3 linked regions of the Coturnix japonica genome follow. The protein of the gene in region 1 interacts with the protein of each later gene in a biochemical or structural test. Links are inferred from orthologs where the notes say so. Each region holds a gene or a part of one and is shown in the gene's direction. Other genes may lie near its edges.

Region 1 (6,816 bases):
TTTTGCACACATTTTCTGAGAAACTATATAAATAATGCACACCAGTAAAAAAAATTGTTACAGTATCTTCACCGATGCTCTTTACTTCTGGTTATGTTGTTGATAGTGTACTTTCACATAGCTGAAAAGATGTTACAACAGCACCTAAAAAAATATGTAACGTACATCATGTCTCCATGTCAGCATTGCTACATGACAGACAGCCTGTAGTGTGCCCTACTTAAAGGCCATGGTAGCGTTCTGCTATTGATGTGTTCGTGTTCTGACTGCGAGCTATATCACCATGCATATGACATTTCTCTCGGCGACATAACATGTTTGTATGCACTGCAGCTTCTCTGAATGGTACTAGTAATTGCTCGCTTTATTATACATAGTTTCAATTGTTGCTTCTTAAGTGTTTTTAATTTTTGCTTGTGTCTAGTGCTTACCTTGAAGAGTTTTGGAGTACTTCAATACAGACGCAGTTAGTATTATAATTTCTACCTGATATGAACACTGATATATGTTCAGCCCTGAAGCTAACTTGTATTATGAAACATGGAATGGGAAATTTCAGTATGTATATTTAAGCAGTTCAGGAATCCAAATCGTGTTAAGTGCTCTGTTTATTTGCAACTCTTAGTGCCAAGCCATTTATAGTTTCAGAGTGAGGAATGTAAGATCCGGTATGAAATACCAGCTCCTTAGTTCAAAGAAGAGTTTGTATAGGCATACTTCAGTACAGCTGCTTAAAACTTCATTGTTCCTTTCTTTTTGGAAGGATTACGATTCCATTGTGAAACTGGTGAAAACTTTAGAAAAACTGCCTACTTTTGACTTAGCTTCCCACCACCATGTGAGGTTACATTATGCGTTTGCACTGAACAGGTAAGACTCTACCTTTCCTACTACTGTCAAGTAGTAAATCAATACCACAAACTCAATGTGTGGCTGATAATCCTGGTTATAGGTCCCTACTGGAATCTTTGTATACAGGTCTAGGGTTCTCACTGTAGCAGTTCTGGGGACTCTTGACCTTCATGATGAGTTTGAGCTTCCTTTTCCTTTCATACTGCCAAATTGCTTTCCTCTTCCTTCTCTGTGAGTGTCTGTTTTTATTTATTTGTCTTTCCATAGATCTGCATCAGCATTTGAGTTTTTCACTTCAGTGTCTGAGTCTGTAAAAGTAGAATACACTTTTAACATCGCTATTGCCTGACAGCATTGTAGCATTTGTGCTGAGTTAGACATCCTCTCATTCAAGTCTGAGTTCTCCTATTGTCAGGAGACAGGAGAAAAACTTCCATGAAGTCATATTTACTGTGTTACAGTACACATTTTTTTTTTTTTTCACATTCTCCAATAAATAAATAAATAATGTGCAGTGTGTCACATACAGCAACATGCATCACTTCTTTGAGTTAAATGGGAGCTAGGCTCTTGTGCTTTTTTGCTTATATTGTGATTTTTCTCAGGAATCTGAAATACTGGCAATTGAGGATGGCATTAAAGAGGGAATTTTCCAGTGGAAATTGCAGATTTTCTGATCCCTTGGTGTTATCACAGCAAAGATTGCCCTCTGATGTTTAGAGGAGCAGACCAAGTGTCAGCAGGCAGTGCAATTCTCAGATATATGTAGGTTGCTCTAAAAGTAATGCCTCCTATTGTTTTCCATGGAAAGAACAACAGATACAAATAGCTCAGTAGCACTGTTTGATAGAGCAAATTCTCAGCTACAAAACAGTATTTTTCAATATCACTGTTAGCTGTGCATTTTCACCATGCCATGTTTGTAAAAAAATCTGCACCAGTGGAGGTGACCCACTGTCACCACTGCTGAAACACACCACCCACCGTTTCACTGTGCTCACATCTGCTGTTTGGTCTCCATCAACGTTCAACAACTGTCAATAAAGGTTGGTGGGTGCCATTGTTTCTGCATGAGGGAGTTCATTGGCACCCCTTTGCTATAGTTCCATGTCAGATACCATTCTGTCAGACTACCCCTCTGCTGCCATCTTTCACACAGCAACAACATGTAGCAGAATGTTGGAGGGAAGGCTCAGCCTCTACTGCCATAGCACCAACAGCAACATCTGATATCATGAGCCATCTTAAGAGAAAACAGGAGACAGTGCTTTTGGAGCAGCCTTTGCATTGCTTTTTATAAATAAGTATTGCATGATCTCCCTAAGGATTGCTCTCAAAGCTATTCTTACTGCTGTTACTGCTTTGCGCTAGCTGATCGTGAGGGAGAAAACATGTTTGGGGGCTTTTATAAAGAAGGTTTTTTTTGGTAGTGATGTTTTTTAATCTTTGTTTTAAACATGTTTATAAAATAATCCATTGCACCTAGGAGTGCATTTTACATATATTTATATATTAGTCTGTAATCATATCTTTATTTAAAATCATGTATTTAATCTTTAAACGAATAACTGTATATTCAGATTGGTCACAAAAAGGTATTCCTTGTTAACACTATTATTTTTTATTGCAATATTTATTTTTAATAGACGAAATCTGCCTGGGGACAGACAGAAAGCTCTAGAAATTATGATTCCTTTAGTAGAACAAGAAGATCAAGTAGCCTCAGATATGTACTGCCTGGTTGGTCGCATTTACAAGGACATGTTTTTGGAATCTGGGTTCATAGATACAGAAAGCAGAGACAAAGGGACCTTCTGGTGAGTAGTGTCTTCCTGGTCTATGTGTTTTTCTTAGCTTTAGAAAACATTCCTTTAATGAGAACATACTTCAACTCTTTTTCATTCCAAATATTTTGTGTTCTTGATGGTTATGCTAAGTCTTCTAATCTGGGCCTCGCTTACTTGTAAAGAATGAGAGACTTATGTTGTCTGTACGTCAGCTTCCATGAAGCTCTATAAGTTCTTCAGAGCCTTGGAAGTTGAGGTAGCCCTCATCACAGCTTATCTTTCTCCTCTCTGTCAAATGTGAATTCTCTTGTTTTCTGCATTACATTTGGGAATCTGGTCCAGATATTATTCAGGCTTGAATCAATAGGCGTATCTGCAGCCTGGTAGATATTTACCAGCTATGCTTAAAGGTTCTAAAGTATAACTGTGCTGATGCGTAGAAAGTACCATTTTTGTCTTTTTTTTTTTTTTTTTTTTTGGCTTTCTTGCTGATGAAGAATATAAACTCATGCTCAGAAAAGGTTTATTACCTCATCATCACCATACCATGTCTGCGTATTACAGTGGACCACAGTACAAATTCTTATGGTACTTGCCTCTAAAATGATCGTTCTTTTTCCTTTGGAATGTGCTAAAATGCCAACTTTTATGTGGAATAGATTAAAAAAAATTCTTCTGTCTCTTGTCAGTGTCAGGCCTTCAATTTCCAAAGGAAACATACTTGAAATTGTAACATTAGATACTTTTGCCAGAGTGAGCTGTTTTTTTCCGTTACAGTCCAGAAAGAGAATATAGGTAAATACTTGTGCATATACTCCATATCAAATCCTAGTCCTGCTCTTGAGTTCATCAGCTAACTGTTGAAGTAATTGCTTAGAACTGAAAGCTTGATTCTCCTTCTCTCGTTTCACTTTTTTTCAGTAACCTTCAGATTTGAGTTGCCTTTGGTGAAATACATAATTATTCACCATCTGCAGTCATAGAATACACGTACAATTTCTAATTGTTGGTTATGTTTTACACTTTTGTAATGCTTACTGGACTCTTAAAATATACTGCAATAGCAGGAATGCAGCATGTTATTTCCCCCCCTTCCCATTTCATAATTTTGAATTAAAGAATTTATCTAAGCCAAAGCTCCTGTGAAATTTTCAAAATAGTTGTAAAATAATGTTTTGTTTAATGTTAGCTGATACAAAAAGTAAACTGTAGTCCTTATCCGGTACTAGGCATCACCATAGACAAAACAAATTAAATGAACTTACGTCTGTGATAGTGTATCTTGCTTTTTCCTCATTTGTACTGCTTTAAGAACAGATAAACTTTGAGATTTTCAAACATAATCAGGTGAGTTTATGTGTTTAGTAGGCAGAATTACTTACTAGGATGTTTCACACAGCTGTTTTAACATGCTTTTAATAAATGCATCTGTCAGTCATGTTGCTCATCTACCTTCATGAGGTGCAATGATTGCAGTCATAACAGTTTGGGGGAAGGAGAACAAATGCAGCTCTTGCCATGGGTAGGACACTGACAGGCCAGCTCTTCCATAATCCTTGAAGTCTTTGGTCAGTAAGACCAAACTGAAATGATCTGGAATTTGACTGGAACCTGTCCTGGGTGCGCCAGTTGCATTTTGTATGTACTTTATGTTGAATATTGATTTGAATACTCGTGTCAGTCATATGGCAGGCTTCATATGGCTGAAGGGTTGAACCATAACCTAATTGGTGGCCCTTGGCTGGGAGCAAAGCTACTACCAGTGCTGCACCCTGGCCTCAGCGGGGGCGGAAGAAGGTGTGTGCGGGAATGCCTCCACAATTGTATTAGTTTATGTCGAGATAAAGTTTATTATCTTTGTCTTAGAGAAATTTAGTGAATTGCATAAGATAGGAATTTGGCAGCAGAACCAAAGTGTTAGTTTTGCAACAGCTAATGATGTCAGGGTACTTTGTGCTGTTAGAGAAAAATAAATGCAGGAAGTGTGATTTTTCTGACAACTGAAATGTGGAGTAAAAGGCATCTGTGATAAAAAATATGAGACAAGAAATGAAAGTCTGATTGTTAACTGACACTTTCTTGTTGCATACTGACAATGTAAATCAAACTCACCAATGCTATCAATGCTTCTTTCAAATCCTTTTACTGCTACTCATCTTATTCAGTGTCTGTATTGCAACATTTTCCTAAATATCAGCTTTCAATTTTTTGGAGCCCCTTATAATGGAATTATCTAAGCCAACCTCTATCTTTAGAGGAAGACTTCTAAACCTGACTGCTTTTCTGCAAGACTGATTCCTTCTGTGTCATGTAGGGCTTGTCAGTGTGCACCAATTGCACCTGTTGAATTTAAACAAGTTCAGTTAGTGGATGTTAATTGAAAGTGGTTATTTTCATTTGTTGAAATAATTACAAGTTTTTCATTTTTATTTTTGTCTGTGAATTTCTTGTTGATTCTTATTGTTTTTTCTTGTGCATGTTGCAAAAATTATGTCACGGAGGATGCTACTTGTCAATTGAAGCTTAAAGAAGCCAAGGACTGAGTGTAGCAGAAGAAATAATCTCTCTGATCCTAGGAAATAATTTCTCCATCCCCCGTGGTTAGGGAATATGGCCTTTTTTTGTTGCCTGTACGCGACGCTTTGTTTTCAAATCAGTGCATTGTTTTTTGAGGGCTGTTCATCAATTGCTTCTGCAGGCAATAGCTTTTTTTGTATGCCTAAGTTCATCTCTGCCTCCTTTGCCTATATGTTTAACATTGTTGACAGCATGCGTGTTTCCACCTTTGGATGATGCACATTGGAGAAGTTTATTTTATTTATAAAATCTGAAGTTCTGTATTTGTCACTGAAATAGAGAAATTTGGGTACTCATGCCAGAAATGAGGCATTTGTGTGTCACTCGCTTCTGTGTTTATGTATTTTGATATGCTTATGTCACTGGGGCAGATCCATGATCTAAAGTCTCAAGTTAGTGAAAATCCATAAGAGGATTCCATTTAAGAGAAAATTAAAGAGTCCATTAATAAATATAACTGAAACAGGTCTTTTAAAAGTTGATAATACTATTTTTTTTTATCTCTGTGGAAAAACTGTGAATCCAGTAAGATACTAACTGTGCTGGGGTGGATAACCAGGGTCTGTTCTTGTGTAAAGGAAAATGAAAGAGGATGCATATATAAGTAACTAACTCTTAAGTAAGTAAGTCATTCCTAAAAATAGACAAAAAGCACGTACAGAAAACAATATTTTTGTTTCCATGGATTCTTGCTATGTAAACAGAAGATAAGCACCTACAGAACCTAAAAGTATAATTATGTCCCTACTAGATTGTGTTATTTGGAAAGCAAACTTGTATGTTTGTTTTTTTCCAGGTTCAAGAAGGCGTTTGAGTCAGAGCCAACACTGCAGTCGGGAATCAATTATGCAGTGCTTCTTCTGGCAGCTGGACATTGCTTTGATACTTCTTTTGAGCTTCGGAAAGTTGGTAATTACAGCTTGCAAATTCATAGTGAACTTGCTTTCTAGTGAAAGTACGACACGATCCATTGTCACAAGGGGGAAAAAAATCTGATGGTTGCATATGAGTTCTTCGACAATGAGTATGTGAACATCTAAGTCAGTGTCCTCAACCACCACTGATCCCACCTGGCTGAGAGTGAGCACTGTCATGATGACCTGATTCCAGGATGAAGGTCTTAACAGGTTATCAGAACCTAGTGAAAACTGGCAGCCCTTTTTTGCAGTGATGTCTTTTTTTTTTTTTCTTTGAGAGCCAGAAGGAAGGAACGCCTTAAGGGGGAGTCCAGATCTGGGGAAAAAAATAATAAAAAAAATAAAACAAACAGAAAACACCTACGGATCAATAGGAAATACGGGCAAAAAAAAATTGAGTGGTCAGAATGCGCTTAGATTGAGATTGGGGTAGGTTAAGAGAAGAAAGAGCTACACTTCTCTTCAGATGCTGTTTTTGAGGTTTTTTTGAGCTTTGGTGGTCCACTTTGTGATTTTGATTGGTGGGTCTGCTGTATTTGAAGAGAATGCAAAGTCAAACTGGTTTAGAAGTAAGGTGTGTGGAGTATCTCTGAAAATAGTTTTCTAGATAAAGAACATTTTTTTGAGCTTGAAGCTCAGAGATGATTGCTTTCATGTGGATAATAGAAGTGGAATTGAAATTT
Region 2 (7,417 bases), on another chromosome or scaffold:
GAGCAGCCCTGGGCACCAGAGCTCTGGAGGTGGGCAAGAAACTGTTCTGGTTCCTATGGAGCTCACATTGCCACGCTCTGTCGTGGATCGTCATCCACCTCCCATCCCCAATGTGCCTGAGCATGGCCGCAGGGGAAACACGTGTTGCTCTGGGTGGGAACAGCATTCCTCACACAGCTGACAAGACTGTGACCTTTAGCGATGCAAACATGGCAGTAATGCTAGGATAGTCATTAGCAAATTGACTAATGACATCCATCAAATTGTTCTTTTGAGAAAGGGCTTGTGGCAGCAATGAAGAGCGAGACAGGAGCGTGGAGCAGCCACCTAGAGCATGTCATTGGAGGTGAATATCAAAGAGATACTGCAGGCACTGATCCAGCCTGCTGCACCACCTGCTTCAGCTTGAACTGATGGTAGCTTTCCATTTCCCTAAGCACAGGTCGTGCATTGTAACCATCTCTGGCAAAACTCTTCTCACCAATTTTAGCAGGAATGTGGGTCATACAGATGTACAGGGTGATGAGGGCTCGCAGTGCTGCACAGTTTGGGTCTCTTTAAAGCATGAAGCTCCTCAGCCCAAAGTGTAGAATGTTCACAGGGATTCAAGTCACTTACAAACACGTAACACACAAGTGACTCTGCAGCAGAAATGCAGCGCTCCTTGCTGGCTGAGCAGCCGCCTGCACGGCTCGATCCAAAGGGACGCGACGCATCCTGCGACTTACCGCTCTCGTACCTGCAGCTGGTCAGGTTAATGGATGGGGCGCTGGAATTGAAAGACACAAGAGCTGCTCAGTGAGACCAGACGGCGACAAAGGGGAGCGGACACGAACAGCTGCCTCGTGCCACACTCGTGTTACCCAAACCCCGCAGTGTCACTGCCCAGTGTGACCCACTGCCATGGGCCACGTGCCAAGTGGGTCCCGAGCCCGTGTCCGTGCTCTGGGGGCTGCCCCACCCTCGGGGTTATTTCCACCCTCGGTGTTATTTATTTCCATCCCCCTCGTGCTCTGAGCCCCGTCGGATCCCGGTTCCGTTGGTTACAGTCCCGGCCACCCCCGGGCACGAGGCCCCGGACCCACAACAGACACATGACGGCGCTGCGCACACGGCCGGGCTTTATGTGCGGCACGGCCCGCACCGGGCACACGCGGGCGGATACACGGACGGACACGGACGGACACGGGCCGCCCCCCCCGCCGCACTCGCCTGCACTTCTTGCGTTTCTTCCGCGCTCTGGGGCTGCAGGCGGCAGCTCTGGGCTCCATCCCGGGGGCAGCGGATCCGCTCCGAGCTGCCGCCCCCCGCCCGCCGCCCCCGGCCTCCATGGCGCCGCTCGAGCCCGCCGCCGTTCCCATGGCGACGAGGCAGCGGTCTCCGCTCGACCATAGAGAGCTCGGCCCGGCCGGCTAGAGCGGCGCCGGGCCGGTCACGTGTCCGCGTTCGCCATTGGTCGGCTAGAGCGGCGCTCAGTCCTCCAGCAGCCGCGCCAGGTCGGCGGCGAGGCGGCGCATTTCCGGTTCCGGCAGCAGGGGCTGTCGGATGGCGCGCAGCGCTTCGGCCTCGCTCAGTCGCTCGAAGGCCGCGGCCGAGCGCAGCGGGAGGAACCCGGCCAGCTCACACAGCGCCACGGCCAGCACCGCGTCATCCGCCTCGGGCTCGAAGTTCGGCCTGCGGGGCCACAGCAGCAGCCGCAGCCCCGAACCGGGACCGGGCCCGGCCGAGCCGTCCGGCGGGGCGCCCCGCGTCACGAACACGTTGTAGGCCAGGCCCAGCGCCAGCAGCCGCTCCGACACCCGACACGCGTCACGGGCCAGAGCGTCCAGCGCGTCCAGCCCCGCGCCCGGGGTGTAGAACAGCAGCGCCGGGGCCGGGACCCGCCACAGCACATGGAGACGGTCACGGAGCGGCTCGGCCGGAGCCGACTCCACCAGCAGCGGGTGCGGCAGGTCCAGGCCGTGCAGGTGCAGGTGGTTGACGGACGCCGAGGCGCCCAGGCTGTTGAAGCCCACGCGGAAGCCGGGCCGGGCGCTGAGCAGCACGAGCTGCAGCCCCGCCAGCAGCAGCTCCGGGGTGAGGCGCTGCGGCAGGAACAGCCCCGGCTCCGGCAGCAGCAGCACGTGGCCGCGCAGCAGCGGGCTGACGTTAATCGCCACCAGCAGCTCGGCCGGGGCCGCTCGGTCTCCGTGTGTCGATGTTCCCCGGCGCAGCCGCAGCAGCAGCTCCCCGGGCTGGATCTGCGTGAAGTTGAAGTGCCGGGCGCTGAACGGCTCCGTCACGCTGCGAACCTCCTGCGGCCGGCGGCGCAACGTGGCGCGCTGCACGTTGAGCTGGGCCAGCAGGCGCATGGGGCCGGGCAGCACGCGGGTGGGCGGCTCCCGCAGCCGGTACCGGAACAGGCCCCGCTCCTCGCGCTCCTGCCAGGCCTCCAGCAGCGCCCGGTCGAAGCGGGACAGCGCCGTGCTCGGCCACGCCACGCCGTCCAGGATGAACTCATCCTCGTGGTACACGAACTCCTCGGCTCCGAGCCCGTCCCGGTGCCCGCTGTCCCGCACTGCCATGCCCGGTGCCGCCTGGGACCTGACAAAACGGAACGCGTGCACGACTTGACCGCCGCCCCCAGCGCCGCCCTCCGCCCCCAGCGTCCGTCCCGCCGCGCTCGCTGTGCCCCGGCCCCGGGTCCCGACGATCCCCCACCCCATTACACCCCATTACACCCCATTACACCCCATTACACCCCGTCACACCACCCACCTCCGCTCCCAGCGGTGCCGCGCGGGGCCGGGGGCGGCGCTGCGTGCAGCGTGTTCCCACCCCGGGGCGGGACGTTGCCACGGGAGCGGCGGAGTGACGTGCGGGGCGGAAGCGGCGCCGGCGACATGGGGGGCTCCAGCAGTTTGCTGCCACGGGAGGCGCTGGGGGAGTACCAGGTGTGGGGGGGTACGAGGTATTGGGGCTGGAGTCCCAGGTTGGGGGGAGCCCCGTTGTCGGAGGTCCGAGGGGGGTGACCGAGGGATGGGGAATCTGCGGTCCCGTGTCTGGGGCAGCTCCCGGATCGGTGGGACCCGGGGAACGGGAGGAGTCCGGGGCGGAGCAGCTCCCCTCGGGGTCCCCCCGTCTGACCGCGCTCTCCCCGCAGGAGCTGACGTTCCTGAACAAGCAGGAGATCCTGCTGTAAGTGCCGGGGCTTGGCGGGGGGGGCTCAGCGCTGGCAGCTGCTCCCCGTTGGGGGGTGGGCGGGCAGCGCCGGGACGGGCCGTTTCCGTGACCCCGGGGTGCGAAGTGCGCGGGTGCGGCTCCCGGTCCGAGAGAGACAGAGACAGAGACAGAGACAGAGACAGAGACAGAGACAGAGGCTCCGGACCTGCCGGTGCTGCCGGGGGCCGCCCGCTCCCGCACAGAGCAGCCCTTGTTTTCACCTCAGACAGAGACAGAGACAGAGGCTCCGGACCTGCCGGTGCTGCCGGGGGCCGCCCGCTCCCGCACAGAGCAGCCCTTGTTTTCACCTCAAGTGCCTACAAGAGGTTCAGTGAGCTGCTGCCCAGGGAGCAGAGGGACAACGCCCGCTCCGTGCGCGTTCCCAAGAGCCGGATCCTGACGCTGCCGGAGCTGCGGGTACGGTACCTGGAGGGGGGCTGGGCAGGATCACCTGCTGAGCACAAACCGTGCTGGGAGCGCTCCGTGCTCACCGTGCAGCACCGGGGATTGCTTCCTCGGCCCTGTGCAATGCAGCCACACAGCCCCGTGTGGTGGCACAGCCCCGTGTGATGGCACAGCCCCGTGTGATGGCACAGCCCCGTGGGTGGCACAGCCCCGTGTGATGGCACAGCCCCGTGTGGTGGCACAGCCCCGTGTGATGGCACAGCCCCGTGTGATGGCAGGGCTGTGCTGGGCCGAGATCAGAGCTCAGCTCTGCTCAGCTCCTCGTGGGTCAGTGCCCGCCCTGCACTGAGCCCTCCCCATCTCTGCAGGCAAACCCCTTCCAGCACCGGATCTGCCACGTGTTCTCCACGTCCCTGGACAGGGATGACAGCATGTCCTTCGAAGACTTCCTCGACATGCTGAGCGTCTTCAGTGATGCTGCCACCTCAGATATCAAATCCCACTACGCCTTCCGCATCTTTGGTAACCCTGGGTGTGATGTGGTGTCCTGGGATCCCACCCAATGGCGGGGGACAGGCGACAAGGGCTGGCAGTGCCTTCATTGTGCCCACGGGGCAGCTTTGGGGGCACCCTCTGTACTTGGAGCTGCCGTGCCCACGTGTTGTCCCAGCCCCCTCCCAGCGTGGGTGCCTGTGACCTGAGTCACGGGGGCCCCACAGAAAGGTACTTTCTTCTGCCCAAAGACTTTGACGATGATGGGGTCCTGGACAGAAAGGACCTGGAGAAGCTGGTGAACTGCCTGACAGGGCAAGGCGAGGAGTCACGGCTGAGTAACACTGAGATGGAGCAGCTCATCCGTAATGTGAGGACCCGAGCTGGGCAGGGAGCGCTGCATGGTCCCAGCCCTGGTGAGCTCACTGCTCACTGCCTGTCCTGCAGGTCCTGGAGGAGTCTGACATAGACAAGGATGGGACCATCAACCTCTCTGAGTTCCAGCACGTCATCTCCCGCTCCCCAGACTTTGTCAGGTACGTGGCTTCCAGCAGCTCAAGGGGCCCCAGGGGTCAGCCCACCCTGCTGCTGTGCTGGCTTTGAGGCAGCACTTACCAGAGCAGCAAGGCAAGGCCACCCCTTAGAAGTTCCCACAGGAACTTCCTCCTGCACTGTACTCACCTATGCAGGAGCACAGCACATCCACAGAGTGCTGGTTGCTCACAAACCACTTCTCATGCAGCAAGGAGGTGCAGAACATGTCGTGTCTCTTACAGCTCCTTCAAGATTGTCCTGTGAGGGCCCTGTGGCTCTCCTGCAGATCTGCTTCTCCAGCTGCCGCGTCTCTTTGTTATCTCAGATGTTCCCTCTTCTTCTGAGGAGAGCAGCCAAGGCCCTGCTCCTCCCCAGCCTGGCAGTGCCGCACTGTGCTCTAGGGCAGGACTCTGCTCCCCCAGTGCCTGGTGGGCTCAGTTACAGGTGTCCAAACGGCCCCGTGAGGCTCCACCGCAGGCAGCAGCTTGGCTGTCCCAGCAGCACATTTTCACCCCACACAAGCACAGCTCTGCGGTGTGTCAGGGCAGGCACAGAGATGCCGCACTGCATCGAGCACAGCCCCTCTCACCACCCACAGTACCATATGTGCCTTCTGCTGCTCTTCCACGGGGCTTTCCTGCACCCTGGGGAGCAGTTCCTCCAAGCAATAACCCAATTGAACTTTGGATGTGCCATCCCAGCAGTGCTGTCCCTTTGCTGCCCTGGGGCGTGGGGGCTGTGCTCCTTGCTCCAGCACCAATACACTCAGGGTCTGTTCTCACTTTCCAGTTCTTTCCTCTCTGCCTTAGGCTCATGCTCAGCCAGTGCTTTGCCTGGAGCAGGCAGGGCCTGGCCCCCTTCCTTTGTGCGCTGGAGAGGACAAATAAAGGGCTCTGGTTTCACCCCCAACCTGGTCCTGCTGCCAGTGGCCTTTGTCTCGCGCGGGGGGGAGGAGCGGGGTGTGAGCGCTGCAGCATCAACTGCCAAGAGGGTGCTGGGGATGTGGCCCCCCGCCAGCCCCCTGCCCTGAGCCAGCTGCAGCTCTTGGGAACGGGGTCCCAGTTCAGCAGGGAGGCAGCTCCTAGTCCTGCTGGGGAAGCAGCTTGCTGCATGATCCCCCCCTCCTTGGGAGAACCAGAGGCCGTTCCCAGCGTGCTTAGCAGGCACTGCACAAAGAGCTCTGCTCTCTAACAGGAGGCACAAAAGGAAATCCAGGGCAAGCAAGCTGTACCTTTGCTGTGGGCAGCGCAAGGGCCCTTTGTGTCTGTTCATCCAGCGGGCCTGGTGCTGGCTGGCTGCCATCTGGGAACGCTCTGTGCAGGGAGCCCGCAGCATTCCCTAACAGCACCATGCTGAGATGGCTGCAGTGCCCGGTGCTGCTGGATCCCCAGCCCCAGCTTGCAGCTGTTTCTCACGTCCCGGCTGCTTGCTCCCAGCAGTGCAGGCCCTTCCAGCTCGCTGCCCTGCAGTGATGATGCTTATCTGCCTGCTGCAGCCTGCGGGGCCATGTCTGCTGGCACGGCACCAGCCGACGCCTCCGGTGGCTTTTTTGATGTCCCAGAACAGGCTGGGCAGGAAGTGGGGAACACTGTCCTGGCAGGAGCGAGGCAGTGCGGGTCCCACGGCATCCTGCCCCAGCACGCTGCCTTGGTGCAGAGCTTGCTGCTTCCCAGGCACGAGGCAGATAAGCAGCACTGTGCTCTAGAGCTGCTTCTCTACATCATTCAAGCGGGGCCTCAGAGCAGCAGAGCACTGCAAACCCTACGCTGGGGTCGCAGGGATGCTGTTCTGGATCTGCATGCTGGCACAGCCACACACACAGCCCCATGCACCATCACACCCACCCCGCACACGGCCGTGCATGCCTGGCCCACAGGAGCCAGCCAACGGGATGTGCCCAGCTCTGGGAAGGGGCCCTGGTCCCACACTTGCAGGCGCAGCAGCACACACATGTACAAAGGAAACACCTGGACTTTAGGTAAAAACCACAGACGTTTCTGCACACGCACGTTGGGGACATGAGATACGCAGCACGGAGCTCCATCCCGGCACAGGGTGAGCACCGCTGTCCGCTCCCTCCCCAGGACACAATTCACATTTCCAACGTATTAAAAACGAACTGAGCACAGACACACACCACATCCACGGGGCCACCACGCACCAGCACCACCCGGCCGTACACACGGCACTGGGCCCCCAGCGGGACGTCACAGTGAGTCAGGGCATGAGGGGGCTGTGGCCGCCCCCAGCCCTCTGCATAGACGGGGCTGTGCCAGCACGGGGCTGGGGAAAGTCCAACCATCCCTGTGGGCGTGCGGTACCCTCTGCCGGCCCCATCCCGAGGTGGTGCCCAGGACCCCCCTCAGCAGGGTGGGCGGCGCGGCGGGGCCGGGCTCCGGGCATGCACACACAGACAAACACCGATCCCAGCCGGCGAGGCTCAGCAGAGCAGAGGTGGTGCGCGAAGGCCGTCTGTGCCCTCACACCACCGAGTCCTGGATCTCGGAGCCCAGGCGCACGCGGGGTCTTTGGCAGGCGGGGGACACCTCCACAAAGCTGTCCCGCACGTGGAGGGGCCGCTTCTCCGACTCAGAGAAAGCACGTGCGGTGCCCGGCGCCTCATGCACAGGGGTGCTGACGATGTAGTTGTCCTGCAGCGCCTGGTAGCCCTTATGCTCGGGCACGGCGTTGGGCAGGCTGCTGCCGTTCAGGGGCAGGCTCTCCACTGGTTTACGGGGTGCCTTCTGGTGCCGGCTGGCGTCCCCAGGCTCCACCAGTGCCTTCA
Region 3 (7,480 bases), on another chromosome or scaffold:
CTCGAGGCCGCTCCCCCGGTGTTATCACCGTCTCTCCGTACCTGCGGTACCCAGCGAACCGACCCGGCCCAGCCCGGGGACGCAACGTGGGGCCGGGCAACCCGGAGCTACCGCCCCGGGGAGGAGCTGGAGGAACGGAACCACCCCACAGGGCTGGAGATGGAGCAGGGAGGGAGTTCGGGATAAGGGGTGGAGTTTGTGGGTGGGGGGAGTTTTGATGGGAGGGGGTGGTTGTGCGTGGGGGTGGGGTCTCAGGTGGAGGGGTTGGGGATGGATGGGGTCCTAGATGGGAGGGTTCTTGATAGGAGTATTCGGGATGGGGGTGTTCTCGATAGGCTCTGATGGTGGGAGGGGGGAATCTTGGATGGAGGGGTTTGGATAGGGGGGGTCTAATTGGGGGGTTCTGATTTGAAGAGTTCTGGAGAGGAGATCCTGAATGGGGGGTTGTGGGTGGGGGTCCCCCCTTGGAGCTTCATGGCAGAGTGGGAACCCCCATAACAGCCCCAGTGTTGAGCTCCCTGTCTGCTTCTGGAACTTTCTGTCGTTTTATTGCATGATCAGGAACAGAACAAAAGCACTGAAAATGTCACTCAGAGCAGCAGCTCCCAGCACTGTACCTTTATTTGTGTGCCAGTATGATACTTAGCACAAGGCACAGATTGGAACTACACACCTCTGTATCTCTGCATCTCTGCATGTGCATATTGACATATCGACATACCTTTATATATGTATATCTATACATCTATGCCTTATTGGTGATAAGCTGATATGTCTTGCAAAAGAAGGGAAGGGAAAGGAATGGAAGAGCAATAAATTCAAGTGTTCTATTTAAATAATGCCTGCAGTTTTCTTTAACAAAGAGTGAGTAAATAAAGGGCATCATATCTTGAGCTTCAACAAGAAGAATGAACTTCTTATCATCATCCAATGAGCATCAAACTGCACAGAAGTCTGGAGCTGAGTTCTGGTCACTTTGGTGTTTGTTGTGGTCTCTTTTCATACTTAATTCGAAGTGCTCCTCATTATGTCCTACCTGCAGAGCTCAGAACTGCAGCTCAGGCAATGGGGGGAGGGATTGGCCCAGGGAGTGGTGGGGTCACTGCCCCTGCACTTGGTCCAGACATAGAGATGTGACACTGAGGGATGTGGTCAGTGGGCACAGTGAGGGTGGGCTGGGGTTGGGCTTGGAGAGGTCTTTTCAAACCTCCATGATTCGATGATTCTGTTATTATTTCTTTGGTTATTGATTTGTGAGCATGTTTTGCACACTGGCCTCGGACACTTCTATGTGCTGCAGGTTGTCGTGGGGCACTGACCCCTCTGCACATTGAGTGCCACAGCACTGGATGTAGTGTTCCCCTGTTTCTCCCTCCCACGTAAGCTCTGGGGTGGGAAAACTCTCAGCACGAGAGCAAAAATGATGGAGAAGCAAGTGGCAGAAGCAGAGCAGACAAAAGACACAGTGTGGCTGAGCCCAGAGGCTTTCAGCCTGCTCACAGCTTGCAGTTCCCTTTAATTTAGGGAACAAAGGAACACGGGGTATCGCCCGGCACCATTCAGGCCGTGGGGAGCAGATGGCCGAGCTCACGCTCATTGTTTCTCACCTCCTCTCTCCAAAAGCATTTTTCTCCTCCTCGGCATCTGCAGCACTGTTTGGCTCCATCTCCTTCCCTGCTGAACAGCCCTTTTGCCCCATTAGAAGCATTTCCCACAGGGCCCTCAATGTGCTCTGCATCTTCTGCTGGGTGGGATGCAACCCAGCAGCAGGAGGTGATGCATTCAGGACGTGATGATGTATTCAGGTGATGATGCATTCAGGAGGTGATGCATTTACCTGACCCCGAGGTGTCCATAATAGAAACACAGCGGGGAAGCAACCGCTGCAAGAGGAGACTCACAGAGGGGAAAGCAGGAAGGCTCCCCAGTGCCCCAAGCAAAGCACGGCCTGCAAACAAATGCACACTTCAGTGCAAATCTATGATATGATTATCAAGTTTTTAACAACAATAAGGGCAGGCACAGATTTTGGAATCAGAGCATTTTGTTCAGCCTTATGGACTCCAACTTTTGCACAGGGCGCACCTCAAGCTCCTCCTGCAGCTCTGTGCCATTCCAGAGCCCATCTCTTTGTTTTGCTACAACGTTTGCTCTCTGCATTTAATTGCTGCACAGCAAAGCGAGGTGCTTCGCTGTAAACAAACCAGCAGCCAGCAACTCACGTCAAAATAAATAAATAAATAAATAAATGAATAAATAAATCGCTTAAAAGACCTCAGGAGACAAATGGCCTTTTTCTTTTTTCTTTTTTTTTTGCACAGCTTGGAAGGGCTGCGGGTGGGAGGAGGAGACAGAGGCAGGGATGCAGGCAGAGATGGATGCAGGGATGCACAGAGTGGTGGATTAAAAGGATTCACATAGGGATGACAGGCAGGGATGCACATAGGGATGCACATAGAGGTGGAGGCAGGGATGCAAGCAAGGATGTGTGCAGGGATGCGTGTGGAAATATGCGTTGAGGATTGAAGTAAGAGATGCACAGAGGGACTGATGGAAGGATGCATGCTGGGGTGAGGGCAGGGCTGCATGGAAGTGCATCTCCTTCCATGCAGAAATGCATGGAAGGTGAAGGAAGAGATGCACGGAGAGATGCAAACAGGGATGTATGCGAGGGTGCACCCCCATTGATATTTGGGATTGGGGGGGGGTGCAAAAACCCAACCCCTTTATAACCCCCCCCCCCCAATATCGCGCAGCCTCCGCTCCGCTCCGTGCAGCAGCGCCCCCTGCAGGCGAACGCCGGCGTCTGCAGGGACTACAGCACCCATAGGGGAGCGCGGCGGACCGTCGGCAGCGCGACTGCGCACTGCGCCCCCGAGCTCCAAGTTTGGAGCTGCGAGCTGCCAGCCCTGGCCCATCATGTAGGTGCAGCAGAGCCTTCCCCAGCACTGCAAGCAGGGGGGGGGGGGAAAGGAAAAACCCCCCGCTCTGCAAAGCTGCCCTGCAAAGTGTGCAATTTGCACGGCCCCCCCCCTTGCTGCAAGGAGAGCTGCTGCAGCGAGAGTCAGGAAAACTCCAGTTGCATGAAGATTGAGAGCTTGCAGTTTGCATCTTTGTTGCAAAACTAGCTCCAGAAGAGAGGCAAGGCAAAGTCTTTTGTGCTCCCCTCCCCCATCAAAGCAAAGGGGAAAATGTCTCAGTCGAGAGGTAAGGCTCCTACTTCTGTTCGTTGCAAATATGCAAGAAGCCGTGCATGCATTTTGCAGTGCATGCATGCATTTTGTCGGGATGCAATTGCATTTTGAAGTTTGAGGCTTTCAATGGCTCTCAGTTGCATTTCCTGTTTAGTATGTGCCTTTTTGCAGCCACACACACACTCACACACACAGTTCCTGTAAGGCAGGGCTCGCACTTCAGCTGTGCATTGACGTTATTTGAATTCTTCTGCGGGCATTACGGAGCCCTTTCTGCCTTTTGCACAGTCAGGACAAGGAGAAGGGTGCGGAGGAGCAGATGCATATTCGCTGCCGTGTGGTGTGCATGCAAAAAATGGGCACGGTGCAGGAGAACCGCAGCTGATATTTGCAGCGCAAAAAAAAAAAAAATGAAATGAAACTTTTGCACAACTCCGGGGTTCTCGAGATGAAAGGTGAAACTCGAGCGAGGAGTTACCAGGAATTAAATATATACCTATGTTTCCATGGGAAAGTATTGTTCTGGTGCCAGGGCTGAGATCATTTTTCCACCGATCTCCCCCCCCCCCTCCCCTCCCCTCCCCTCCAAATAAGATGTGTAACTTTTGCAGCGTGCAGCGGGGCCGTGGGGTGCAGCGCTTTGATGGCTGCAGGGGGGGCTATGGGGGGGTATAGCAAAGCGTCTGCGAGGGGCATGGGGGGCGGTGAAAGGGGGGGGGTGGTATTGCAGAAATGCGGAGGGAATGCAATAGTCCCTGCATGGGGATTGCAATTGAGGCGCTGGGGGAGCTGCCGCTGTGGCCATTCATTGTGGAAATAATGCACATATATCAGCGAGAGGCCACGCAGATGCAGCTTTTGGAAGTGCGTGGATTTGCTGTTGCAATGCATTTTGCAGCCTGGGGGTGGTTGCAACCCCCCCCCCCCCGGGTTGACGTTGGGCTCACTTCGGGTCGTTTTGTGCTTTGCTCCTTTGGTGGCCTTTCCAGTGCTGGGGGGACATGGCAGCAGTTTTCCTTTGTAAGAAAAATGTAAAGTTGTTGTATAATTTATTCCTAATTTGGGTTTGCTGCAGTCATCTTTTCCAGGCAGGCAGGGAATTGTAAAAGTTTCCAATAGGACAAGCCAAGGGAGTTTGATAGGGCGGAATTGTGCAGGATGGGACCCGGAGCTGCTCGCTGGGGGTCCCAGTGCAAGGCAGGGGGTGAGTGGGGGACGGCTGCATGCTGGGGATACCCCCCAATAATAATGGGGAGGAAATGGAGCTGCTGACAGCAGGGACCCACAGGGATGTCCTGCAGCTCCAGTACCAGGAAAGTGGGAAAAAATGAGTGGGCAAGCCACAGTGTGGCCTCAGTGAATGGCACTGTTCTGCACTCTGCTGCCCATCCATGCTCTGCTCCCATCTGATGCTCTGCTGCTCATCTGATGCTGGAACCCCATGTGTAGCTGCTCTGTGTTCAGCCATTTGGTTTTGCAGGATTTGAGCTCAGAGGTTTGCTCCGCTCCTTAGGATGAACGGAACCAGCCCAAATCTGCATTTTGGAGCAGCTGTCTTGCATTGCACAGCAGGCTCCTTGTCAGCACTCTGCAGTGCTGTGCAGGGCTGCAGAAAGCTGCTGGGCTGCACAGCCCTTACCCAGCTTTGAACCTGCTCCAAAGTTGTTTGGCAGCAATGGATGTTTCAGTGCTCCCTCTCAAGGTGGGAACTGAGGGGCTGCTCTGCCACAGCTCTCCTCCCTGCAAAGCATCTCGCCTGGCTCCAGGCAGGAGCACTCTGCAGCCCCCACACCTGTGCAGTGCAGCGAGATCTACTTTTATATGGCCGTGAGTTCAGAAACAGCTCCTTCCTTCTGGCCCTTCCCATAGCAGAGAGCAGTGATGCTTTCAGCATCATCCCTGTGTTACACAGCCACGGTACCTGCTGGGCTCCTCAATGTTTTGTGGCCACCAAAGCACACCAGCACTGAGTTCCAAGTGCTGCTTTCCACTGCCTGCACATTTCTGCCATTCCTCTTTCAAGCTGCAAAGGGATATTTTGGGTTGGATGGAGGAACTGCAGCAGTTTGCTCCCACCTGTTGCACTGCTGAGACCTGGCCTGGAGTCCCATTGGGAGCAGTGGGGCCTTTGGCTGTCACCAATGGGATGATCTTCTGGAACAACTATATGGAAGGTCACGTTCACAGCAAGCTCAGCATGGTTTGATGCTGTAAATCTGAACCTTCGTGGCAGTGGATATGTTTGGGTGTCTTCCAAATGTATCGTGATGGGGAAGTATTCCCTGGAGAAGCCCATGTTGGAGAAGCACCTGCAAACACACAGCGTTCTGCCCAGAAATAAGGAAAGGAAGGGGAGCAGTTGCTATTAGAGCACTAATTATAAATACTTCATGGGCACAAACTCCACTTAACCACGAAATACGGCTGCACAATGATCTGCTTCCCACTTCTCACAGTTTGTTGCTTCAGATTCACCTTTCTGCTCTCCAGCTGCAAAGGGAACAGCAATAGTGAGAACCACGGCCCACGTGATGCTGCTGAACGCGTACCCTATGGACTTTGATCAAAGGCTCTGCACCTCTCCGCCGCGCTGCATTGCATGGAGAGCTCCCGTTTTCCACCTGGACATTACAACGGAAAGAATGCGAATCCAACATGGTGGACGTTTTCTTTTCCAAACAAAACCAAACAACAGCTGTGGGGAAGGCAGCAGCAGGTCTTTGCTCGTAGCGAATTGACCCATGAGCACCGCGTTGTGCAACGCGCAGTTGCTTCGTCAGCACCACCTCAGCGCTCCGTGTGTGCCATGACACAGGCACTTGGCATGGACTGAACAGGGCCGGGTCTGGCTGCAAACCAACCCATTTCAGCTCAAGTTGTATGGTGTTAGTTTGTTTTTTTTTTTAAAGAACTTGCTGAACGGCTATCTGACAATGCAAATTGCATTGACCCCATTGCATGACTCGTTTATGCCACTTTTTGTGATAGGATATGCCTGCGTTAAGCACTTTTGAGGGCTGGAGCACCTCTCCTATAAGGAAAGGTTGAGGGAAGCTGGGCTTGTTTAGCGTCTGATCTCAGCCAAACAACTGCACCGTGCAGCTGAGCAAGGGGGAAATTGTGCACCCTGCACCTCGTGGTGCTGCTCTGCTGCTCCCATGGCATTGCCCTGAGGATGGAGCTGCACCTTGGGGTGTGCTGCACCCATGTTCCTGCAGCATTGTTGCAGGAGGGCAATGCTCCCCGGGGCTCGGCGGGGACAGGAAACCATCAAGCATATAAAAAGCTTGAACTATATGAGCAATTATAGCAATAAAAGCGATACGTTGCAGTGGGAAAGGAGTAAAGCCACGGTTGTGGTTCTTCTTAGGTTTCTCACTACCACACCAAGTGGTGCTCGTTTGTTAACCTTCAGTTCCCAAAAAGCAGACCTTCCTTTGGGGTGAATTCCCTCCTGTGACACACACATTAGCTGCTAAGGTAAAACAAGTGATACTCAATTAAAACAGCAGGAGTAATTTAGGGAGCTGAGACTCTTCATCCTTCCAAGCATATTGGCGTCCATGGAACACAATTAGCATGGAAGTCACAAAGCAGACTCGTCCATTGCATGCTGTGGTTGCAGATGTATCAGATAACTAAGAAGTTGATTTGGTTGGCTTGTTTGGCCCCACGTGCAACCTTGTGCCAATGGGGAACATGGTAATGGCCCCAAAGGCAGCCTCATACCAGTAGTGTGCACTGGGTGATGGTTTGGCTGTGGCGTCACTGGGGATTGGAGAAAACTCAGGGCTGCTCTGCATGTTTCAGCCATGGCCAGAGCTATAATTACAAAAGTTGTTTCATTAGCTGCAGAGTTGCTTAGCTCCCTTCCTTAGGGCCTGGCTGGGAATAGTTTAAGAGATTAGCATTATCAGCTAGAGCAATGTTAGCACTAAAGCAGATCTAGGATCCTGGAGCTTTGCCATGCCAGATATATTCTGCAGCAGCAGAGCAGGAAAGGCCATTCAGTACCACTCCATACCCACTCACAGTGCAAAAAGGTTTTGGGTTTCTTGCTTTTTGTCATCCAAATCCATGTTGTTTTGCACATTGACGAGTACAAATGGAAAAGTGCACTGTAATCCTGGCTCAGTAAAAAGCCATTGGGAGGGGGAAGCATGAACCATTCTTATAGGGCTTTCTTCTGCCTCAAAGCCAAACTGAAAGCTCTCCTTCCCCCGGAGCAGGAAATCCCAAACACTTGGTTGACGTTTCAGGGAGTTCATCCCATCATTAAGGTCTCT

The links.
Region 2: the proteins of MAP3K5 (region 1) and CIB1 form a complex in vitro, tested with the Homo sapiens proteins (2 studies listed by BioGRID and IntAct). The link is inferred for Coturnix japonica from reciprocal best matches to the Homo sapiens genes MAP3K5 and CIB1.
Region 3: of the proteins of MAP3K5 (region 1) and MAP2K6, one has a biochemical effect on the other in vitro, tested with the Homo sapiens proteins (8 studies listed by BioGRID, with this or other methods). The link is inferred for Coturnix japonica from reciprocal best matches to the Homo sapiens genes MAP3K5 and MAP2K6.

What each region holds. Positions count from the first base shown.
Region 1 is NC_029518.1:49,742,385-49,749,200, forward strand, and holds part of MAP3K5 (mitogen-activated protein kinase kinase kinase 5), read left to right. Parts: intron 1-763; coding exon 764-870; intron 871-2,498; coding exon 2,499-2,669; intron 2,670-6,012; coding exon 6,013-6,125; intron 6,126-6,816. UniProt on the Homo sapiens protein: Serine/threonine kinase which acts as an essential component of the MAP kinase signal transduction pathway. Plays an important role in the cascades of cellular responses evoked by changes in the environment.
Region 2 is NC_029525.1:18,186,641-18,194,057, reverse strand, and holds CIB1 (calcium and integrin-binding protein 1), read left to right. Parts: upstream 1-2,802; 5' UTR 2,803-2,882; coding exon 2,883-2,933; intron 2,934-3,142; coding exon 3,143-3,177; intron 3,178-3,515; coding exon 3,516-3,618; intron 3,619-3,974; coding exon 3,975-4,128; intron 4,129-4,349; coding exon 4,350-4,468; intron 4,469-4,545; coding exon 4,546-4,634; intron 4,635-4,874; coding exon of another isoform or gene 4,875-4,896; exon of another isoform or gene 4,897-5,230; coding exon 5,231-5,303; 3' UTR 5,304-5,541; downstream 5,542-7,417. Other genes in the region: tubulin polyglutamylase TTLL6, read right to left, coding at 729-769, 1,213-1,361; GDPGP1 (GDP-D-glucose phosphorylase 1), read right to left, coding at 1,473-2,564; SEMA4B (semaphorin-4B), read right to left, coding at 7,113-7,417. UniProt on the Homo sapiens protein: Calcium-binding protein that plays a role in the regulation of numerous cellular processes, such as cell differentiation, cell division, cell proliferation, cell migration, thrombosis, angiogenesis, cardiac hypertrophy and apoptosis.
Region 3 is NC_029533.1:6,289,655-6,297,134, reverse strand, and holds the start of MAP2K6 (dual specificity mitogen-activated protein kinase kinase 6), read left to right. Parts: upstream 1-2,865; 5' UTR 2,866-3,191; coding exon 3,192-3,207; intron 3,208-7,480. UniProt on the Homo sapiens protein: Dual specificity protein kinase which acts as an essential component of the MAP kinase signal transduction pathway.